Caenorhabditis elegans: one gene and its partner. The protein of the gene in region 2 interacts with the protein of the main gene of each other region in a pairwise test. Each region holds a gene or a part of one and is shown on either strand. Other genes may lie near its edges. The genes, in order: snrp-40.1 and sqst-1.

What was found.
Region 1: the proteins of sqst-1 (region 2) and snrp-40.1 interact in a two-hybrid assay, tested with the Caenorhabditis elegans proteins (one large-scale study listed by BioGRID).

What each region holds. Positions count from the first base shown.
Region 1 is NC_003284.9:11,297,412-11,301,795, forward strand, and holds snrp-40.1 (U5 small nuclear ribonucleoprotein 40 kDa protein), read right to left. Parts: upstream 2,374-4,384; 5' UTR 2,190-2,373; coding exon 2,174-2,189; intron 2,124-2,173; coding exon 2,056-2,123; intron 2,007-2,055; coding exon 1,908-2,006; intron 1,725-1,907; coding exon 968-1,724; intron 897-967; coding exon 841-896; 3' UTR 625-840; downstream 1-624. Other genes in the region: F08G12.3 (RasGEF domain protein), read left to right, coding at 2,893-3,265, 3,313-3,498, 3,752-4,102, 4,150-4,376.
Region 2 is NC_003282.8:12,032,418-12,037,462, forward strand, and holds sqst-1 (ZZ-type domain-containing protein), read left to right. Parts: upstream 1-1,864; coding exon 1,865-2,033; intron 2,034-2,342; coding exon 2,343-4,147; intron 4,148-4,195; coding exon 4,196-4,303; 3' UTR 4,304-4,474; downstream 4,475-5,045.

The DNA of each region.
Region 1 (4,384 bases), on a different chromosome or scaffold from region 2:
CAAATATTTTAAATACGGTTGGTGTTTTTAAGTACGTCATTCATGTCCACTGCGAGAATCGGGAAATCATGCAGCTGCAATCAACCGTACAAGTACTTGTTTGCTCAATAAAAAACTGTGCACAGACATCCCATCATGGAATAGTTTAGTTTGGTCTGTATTAATAATCCAAGTATTAAACTCGATTGAAATCATACACGGTCGCGCCAAAATAACTGCTCCGTGGATACTGCTAATTTTATCTCGACACCGTTTGCAAGCATGGAGCGCGGTTTCTTAGATTTTTGTTTCAATCATATTCTATGCTTTTTTTAAATTGTAAAAGACTGAAAAGCTTGCATACGGCCCCTCGACTCAGTATGACAGTACTCAGGGAACGATCATTTTGATACGACTCAACTATAACACTTAAAAAAAGGAAAATATGCTTAAACTTGTTTTGCCATTTGACAAAAAAGAAAGAAAAAAGGAGAACTTGAGAATTAAACAATTGCCAGTAACTCGGAATGCGAATTGATACTTCTTCACGCATTGATAATTATCCATCCAATTGTTTACTCTAGAGCAATTGCGGTAAATTGATTAAATATTGACCTTCATCTTTCGCTGTTACCGCCTTCATCTTCTTTCGTATTTCCATTAAAACAATTTTTCTGGCGTACTTCAATTTTGAATTGCAAGAATTCATTTGATAAAACATGATCACTGAAAAATAAATAAAGAGAGTCGGACATAAAGTAAGTTCAAAAATTACATCAAAAAAGGAGATCCAGTGAAAAAAACAAAACAGAAAAATGACAAAAAACAAATTTAACCGGCGAATATGGATGTTTTGAATTTCTAGCTCATATCGATTTCTCCCAAGAAAACACGTTTGTCACTTCCACACGAGAGCACTGAAAAATTGAAATTATTGAATGGTCAAACAATGGAAATTTTAAATTTTTGTAATTTATTTTTAACTCACTGATAGGTTCCTTTGGGTGGAAATCGGTACAGTTGACACTTCCCATGTGACCTGGAAGCTTGTACACAATTTTTTTCGACAGTGTTTCCCAGACGTAGAGAAAACGATCCGACGAGCCAGCAGTGATGAATCTCTCACATGGCGACCAAGAACATTTGAGAAGGTTCTTCTCGAAATTGTGATTATGACCAGCAAAAACTCCCACCGAACGTTGTCCTGGTACGAATGGTCGAATATCCCATTGTCGAACAGTGCAATCCATTGAATTGGAAATGATGAATTTCCCACTTGGTGACAAAGAGATTCCAGTAATTGTGTCACGATGTCCAGTCAGAGTGTAAGTAATCTCGTCACGACGCATGTCCCAAACTTTGAGCACGTTGTCAATTCCACCACTAATCACTTGATCCGAAGAATCATTGAATGTAACTGCTGTCTGCTGGTATCGGTTGGTGTAAGTCTTCACTGGTTCCTTGGTTCTCATATCATGCACACGACATGTTCCATCGTCACTGGCAGAAGCGACAAGAGTTACACCACGACGAGACGGATGGACGGCGTTCACAAAGTCTGTGTGAGTTCTGAAGCGACGAGCGCAAGTCCCGGTTTCCATATCCCAGACACGAACACTTTTGTCTGTTCCACAAGAGACCAAACTGCTGCTGTCGGTGGTGAATTTTAAATCCATAACTGCTCCTGAGTGTCCTTTGATTGTAGAAAAGTTCTCGCATTCGCCGTATACATTCCAGAAGAAGATCTGCAAATCATTGCTTAAAAGGGTTGTTTAGTATGAAGGTAGTTTTATATTCGGTTTTTTCAAGACTATACAAAGTTCTACGTTCAATTGTTCTTATTTGCAAAGACCAATTAATAATTAAATCATAGAATTTAATATTTGAATATAAATTCTTGAGACCACAAGGATTTGAAAAAAACTCACTTTCTGGTCGTATCCACTAGTCGCTAAGCATGTTCCATCTGGGCTGAATGCACCGGTGTAAATTTCTCCTTCATGACCTAGCAAAACCATTGTTGGTGCCTGAAAATATAGATTTCTGTTTGTTGTTTGATAAATGTTTAATATTTACCATCAAATTGGAGAATCTCTGCGCAGTTTGCTGTGGAAATCCAGAGCTGACCAGTTGCTGTCCCGAAGCTGAAATGTTTTATAAAAATAAATTACACAAAATTATAAAATAAACTTACAAGTAACAAGAGCCATCGTTGTGTTGGTAAATGTTGGGTTCCACTGGAAAAACAAATTTGAACACTGGAAGACGTTTTCGAATAGACAATGACGATGCAGTGTGAGAAACGCGGAGACGAGTTGTAAATGCAATGCGGTGGAGCGCGTTTACATTTTCTAGTGCGCACACTTGCCGTTCGTCCTCCCTCCCTGGCAGCAGGTCGGGTCTCCTCTCAATGTCTGCCGGCGCTGAGAAGAGAGCATAGGAAAGAAGGAAAGTAAAAAGAAACAAAGAAGAGTGAGAAGAGCTGCTGTGTGGCAACCAACGACCGCATGGAAATTTGTGGAGGCCACGAGAAAGAGTGCACATTACAGAAAAAAAAACAAATTTTTGCCAACTAGGCAGAAGAGCGTGGTTCACACGGAGAGTGGAGACGACATGGAGATAAACATTGGATTCTGTCCGCTATCAGTTACCTTTAGACGTTATCAAGGCGAAAAAACGCTTGAGGCTACGTACGCATCAGGCTTGCCAAAAAAGGTTCCCCTGGCAACCTGCCAACTCTCCAAGCCATCTCCACTTTTCTTTCCTCCCATGCTGAATCTTTTGTACATTATATCAGTTTAGAGTTTTTTTCCGTTTCTCATTGTTGCTTTTTCGTTTTGATTGTTTTACATATAAATTCATATGTTTTCAGATACTCAGAATATATTTCTCAATCAATTCATTGCGGCACTGATGTTGCAAAGTGATCAAGAGCAATTGCTCCAGGCGCAGCAAGCGTTGAACAGGCTGAATCTTTATCAAATAACTCAGCGAATTGTTACGAATCAACAAAACCAATTTGTTACCCAACAACATGATCAATCAGTTCAACCAAACCATACAAGCAGCCCGGCCTACTATGACGAAAATATAAGAACACGAAATGAGGAAATAGACGGAGCGATTGAGTATCACAGAAATATCCAACCTTTGGAGCACATATCCACTTGTATACTCAATCACATTAATCAATTCTCAATGCAGGAAAAAATGGAGTGGTTACACGACCGACCAAAAGCCGTTGAGACTTTGCAACAACGTTCCACTGTTCTTCTGCATGAATTAAGTAAGTCAATTGTTAACACCAATAAAATAATGTAACAATAATTTCAGCAAACGTTGATGACTTTTCACGCTTGTTCGGTCTCATGAATTTTGGCGAGCGCCAAGTGGGTCTAACGTCAATCCAACAAGAGTATCAGAAAATCCATGCTGTTCTTCAAGAATATCTACAGTTCCAGCAAACTAAAACTATATTGCTTTTGGCTGCACGAATCTTTGGATCGTCTTTACTCAATGGTGGGTTTGAGTTTACAATTTTTACGTGCTGAGTTGTACATCAAAATTTTAACTTTCAAAAAATATAAATTAAGTATTTTCTAGCAAACAAATTGTCAACGTTAGCGTATCTAGCTGAATATGAAATTTGGTTGTTTAGTGCCATTTTTATTTTTGTTAACAATGAAAACTTTGAAGCTATATTTATGTAAAAGTCAGCTAATTAAGCAACAAAACTACAAAATATGGAGGTTTACGTAGAATTTCAATTCAGCAGTTCCAAATAATCAGCTTGCTCAACTGATGTACACTTTCCCGAAACCTGAAGGTGCAATGCAAACCCTCAATTATAATGTTCACAATGGGCTTGGACCATCAACACTCAGCTCACCAGGAAAGATTAAGGAGAAAAAAAGCTTCACCCAATATAGGAAGATTAATGAACGGTTCTCTCAAACAAAATCACCTACCTTATACACAAACATCTTCGGCGAAACTTCGATGTCAGTTATGAACGCAGCCAATGCCATCAGATCCTGGGAAGACAGAAAAGCTGTTGCAGAGCATATTCATACCTATGTTGAGAAGAAAAGTTTACTTCACGAATTCGTTCGCAAAATTTCAAGTGAGATTGAGTTCAAGTTTATAAAAGCGTCAATACTTTTTTTGCAGATATTGGACTTCGAGAGCTCAGTGGTTTCTTTGGGGCAGCAAGAAAACCACTTCCATGGGATGCAAAGGAAAATCAAATCTTTGAGATGGTTTTCCCAAAGTTAGCTGTCTTTTTATACGCAACAAATCGAACCCCACATGTCGTCGCAGAAATGGAGCTTCTCTCTGAACATCAATACGATTTCAAGAAACATTTCAAAACGGCCAACAAGAAAAAATACAATCCAGTGAGTTT
Region 2 (5,045 bases):
ATCAGTACCTTATCAATTGATAGCATCACCACATGTTCATCTCGCCTCAAATTCAAAAAAAAAGCAACACTTCACTCCTAAAACAGTTCCATTTTCGGTCGATAAACCATCGATTCCCCGTTCACTCAGCTGTGCGTATTTTCTCGTCATTCGTCTCTTTCTCACAGCCTACACTATTCGCGAAGCCGTCTGCAATCTGCGTCTCACCTTGGGCCCTATGCAGAGGGACAATCAATCGGCCTAGAGGAGGCTGGTCATGTGTTTATGCATAGAAATATCGAGAAAGAATGCGAGACACAGAGATGAAGAGGCATCATTCGGCCTCATTTTGCCCATAGCAACACTTACACTCGTAGGCTCGGTAGTGGAATGTTCCAGATGAATACTCTTGCTTTGACACGATATTTAAGTAGGAAATTCCTTTTCTAAAATCTAAAACTAGCAATTTCTTGCGGTTGTGTAACCGAATCAAATATTCGAAAATTAGCAAAATTTCGCAATGAATATTCTCGTTTTTTGGCAAACCGTTTCTTTTTTGTCATTTTGACTATTACACAGTCTCCTCCAGTGGAAATCGGTCCGTTGGCGCACTTCTCGTGCATCGCGTGGAAAATTGAGAAATTACCAAAACTTTCAATTTACTGTTTTTCTTTATATTTTTCATAACATAAGCTTGGGTGGAAGATTACTTTTCAAATAAACATCAATTTCTACTAGAAAAATGATGATAAATATACAAAATATGAGAAAAACTCAATTTTTAGTTGTTTTTACTTTTTATATCAGCGCTTTTATTTTTGAACCAAAATCAAAAAACTTTTTTCTCCACCTTTCCCCGAATTAGCTTTACAATTGATACCTAATTTCAAAGTATGAAATCGATTTTAAACCCACAAAAACCGAAGGAAATCATTTTTCAGTGGTAAAATTTTGCAACGCTCACGAGAAACGCGCAAGCCCCCTTGTTGGGTCATTTCCACGTGAGGAGGCTGTGTATTATCCTTTCTGATTTTTTCCGTCAAAAATACGGTACCCGGTCTCAACACGCTTTTTTGTTGTAAAATACAAGCAAGTATGCGCCTTTAAAGAGTACTGTAATTTCAAACGTTTTTTGCTGCTTAATTGTTTTCCTTAACAATTTATTTGTTTATTTAAAGACTAAAAATTGAAATTTAAAAGCACAGAATTGTTTTAGAAAAAAGTTTTAGAATACAGTACCGGTTGGAATTTGAAAAAAATTGTCGTGTCGAGACCGGGTACCGTAGTTTTGGCGCAAAAATCACAACATTTCGCGTATGGATAATATTTAATTGCATTTTTACATAACTTTCTTGTAGGCCCAACAGTACCTACTTGCCTGCCTACAGGCAACTCTCTACTGCTACTAAATTTTTGACGCCTTCACGAAATTAGTCACTTATGATAATGAAAGTTTATATTTTAGTTCTAGAGAATCTGTTCAACTAGATCCTAACAAAAATAGTCTCCAAGAAATTTAGATGAATGATAATAAAAACTTGTTGGAAGTGATCTACTAGATCTAGATACCACCTTGAACTTTGAAGCCTTGAGTGTTTTTCTTTTCATATCTCCGTTCTTGCCCCCTTTGTTCATCTCGTAAACATCTTTAAAGGTTCCAAAAATAGTACATTTCCTTTTTGTTGTTGCATTATTCTCCAAAAAAATGAATTATGGTTTCAATTTCTTACACAATACAATCATTATGATGATTATTCGAAGTATAATATTTCGAAATTTCCTTTTTTCGATTTCGCAACTCTCGCAACTCAATAATGTCAATACTTGTTCTATTATCTTTCACTCTCTTTTCACTCACTTTCAAATAACTTCTCATTTTACTCAGATGGCTGCTGCATCATCCGCTCCTCACCAAATGCAAGTTCGTGTGACTTTCTATACAAGTCACAATCCGCAATCGGTTCTCATGATTTTGAAGAACGATCAGGCTCTTCAACAGATCTCCGAGAAGGCAAGAGAACTGTTCCCATCGGCTGATTATCGTCTCTACTACGGTAAGATATTATACTTTTGTTTTTGCCCCGTTTGCTAGACGAATCAATTGTGCAAATAGAGTATTTGTATGCCACACCTATGTTATGACAAAAAAGTACGGTGCCCGGTCTCGGCACGATTGAAATTTTTAATGGACGTTCCGAGGAAGAGTGTGCGCCTTTAAACAAACCATTTTTTTAAATTTAAAGTTTAACTAGATTTAAAAGGTCGTTATTTTTGTAAAACTCAATTTAATTAGATTATATTTAAGATTTCTAATTTCCCTAGATATCTCACAGTAACTTTTTTCCAAATCTTCAAATTTTCAGGTGATGTCAACGGACCAATCTTTGAGTTCACCAATTCGGATCAGATTATGTCTAAGATTCGAATCACTACATTCTCTCGAACTCCTCAACTTTTTGTTCGCCTGGAAACTGTTCCCCTTCGTCCAACAGCCCTACCATCAGTGAGCACTGAAACTGCCAAAAAAGCTTCCGATGCTGATCGTGAATCAAAGAGCAGATCCTCGCTGAAGCGTATCGAGAACAACCAGGAGCTCACATTGAAGACGCTGGAGAAGTTGCAAAAGGAGCTCTCAAGAGTTAGCGCTTTGGAGACGATGGTTGCTGATCTTCATGCAAAGGAAAGAGAACCTGTTGTCGAGGAAGTTCAGAAGCCATTCCCTCCAGTGAAGCACTCGGCGTCTTGTGATGCTTGCCTCGGTGACATCATCGGACATAGGTTCAAGTGTCTCGAATGTGCCGATTATGATTTGTGCGAGAAGTGTGAGAGAAAATCTTTACATTATGAGCATGCAATGATCAGAATTGTGGAGCCAAAGAAAACAATGATCCCATCATATGTGACATCAAACTCTCCGAACAATGTCTTCCCAACTTACATGCAGCACAAGATCCAACAACCACAAACTATCAAGGGGATCAACAAGACTGTTATCACGAGACTCGTTCCTTCACATCAAGTTAATCCAGCTCCAATGCCTCAAGCTCCACCAGTCTCCACTCCAGTTCCATTCCCTCCATCTCCAACCATCGGAAATGGAGCAGTTCCAAAACCAGCCCAGGAGCCTCGGATCCCACCATCTCCAACTTCTGCTCTACCACCACCACAATTCTTCAATGAGGAGACCCGTGCAGCCATTATTAATAGTGCAGCGTTGCTCAAGGAAACTTTCAGTACTTTGAGCAGAAGCTTCTTGGATTTGGCAGATGGTGCACAGGCCAATATGGATAAAAAGATCATTGAACGCTCGACCATGGAAGCAGGAATGACCAAATTCGAAGAGAAAATGGATAATTTGAAAAGACACTGTGAGGAGAAATATCTTGGAACGGAAACTGCTGAAGCTGAGAAGAGCGAGGAATCTTCGAAGAAGCAAGCAGATAGCTTGTCTGGACCAAAGATCAAGAAGGCTAAGAAGAAGTCCTGCTACAAGAAATCTGCCGAGAGACTATTCACAATGCAACTTGCTGCGGCGGCTGCTGAGCAAGCCCGTCTTGAACAAGAAGCCAAGAAAAGAGCTGAAGCCAGCTCTGCTGAATTACAGAGGAAACTTGCTGAGCTTAATGTGAAGGAATCTCAATCAAAATCCGAGGAAAACATTGCTGACTTTGTCCTATACGATCTTTACGGAAACTCCTTGGAAGCTTTGTTGAGAGGTCGTTCGAGCTCTAGAATCGCCGATCCTCCGACCACTCCAAATACCGAACCAGCCACCACAGAGTTAGCTTCAACGACCTCTGCAACTCCAGCCGTCACTGCTCCAGCATCAATTGTTCCAGTTACTCCAACTGCACCAATTGTTGAAACTCTGATCGTTCCACCACTTCCACCAGTGGAATCAAATCCAGAAGAGGTTACACCAATGGTGACTGCACCAATCTCAATTCACTCTTCTTTCGAGAACATTTCTTCGGATTTCGAGAGCCTCAGTCCATCATGGGGAGGATACCCAGATTTGGAAGCTGCACAACGTCTAGAAGTCATCGATGATAACTTACTCGACTTCTCTGATGTTGCTGTTGAAGCCCAGGAAGCTCAAGAAGCTCAAGAAGAAGCTCGCCCAGAGCCAGAGCAATCTCTACCACCATTTAATGAGGAAACTGAAAAGGTAAATCTAAATGTCGTCCATGAATCCCCTAATCTAACGAATTTTCAGACATTCGATCGTCTCCTTGAGATGGGATTCTCCTACAACGTCACTGTTGCTGCAATCAGAGCAAATGGATCGAATCTCGAGATGTGTCTTCAGGCGCTTCTTCACTAATTTGTACATCCTGTATCGTGTCGCCCAACCAACTCTCTCCTAGATACTATTAGTCATTTTCATCATTCCAATGGAAAGCTGTATCTATTTTTTCTCGTCTTGAACCTGAAAATGTTGCTTTTGCGTAAATTGCTTTTTTAATAATCTGAAATTAATAAAGTTGTGGCGAAAAATTATTGTCAGCTGGTTTATTTCAAGTATGGTGTTGCTTTCTGAAACTTGGAGGCTGAATTTTTCTTACATCTGTAGAATTTTATCACATTTCGAATAATTTCAGATAATTTTTTAAAAAACCTTTTCCAAAACAAACTATGAAAAATAAACTTCAAAACATCAACTAGTTCTATTCTCAGGTTGAATATCATTCATTACCAAAAGAGTTAAAGCGTTTTCCAGAAAAAGTTTCGATAATTTTCCAAAAGCCAATTCGAATATTTTCAGCAAGTCGCCGCGTACATTTAGAAGCATCTATCATCTTTGGCATATGGAAGCGAACAGCTTTGAGCAATACGTTTTTTCAGTACAGTTACAAAATCCCATTTTTCTCATCGTTGCATCGAAGATTTTTTCAAAAATTTATATAGCAATAAATAACAATATGTGTACATTTTGAAAATACTTTTACTTTAGATGGAAAGTTTCGAAAATTTGCTCAAAAACCGGCTCAAATATCAAAGTGCAAATCGGCGCATGCCACATTTCGATTTTTAGGCAGTTTTTCAGTAACTTTTTGAAATTTTCG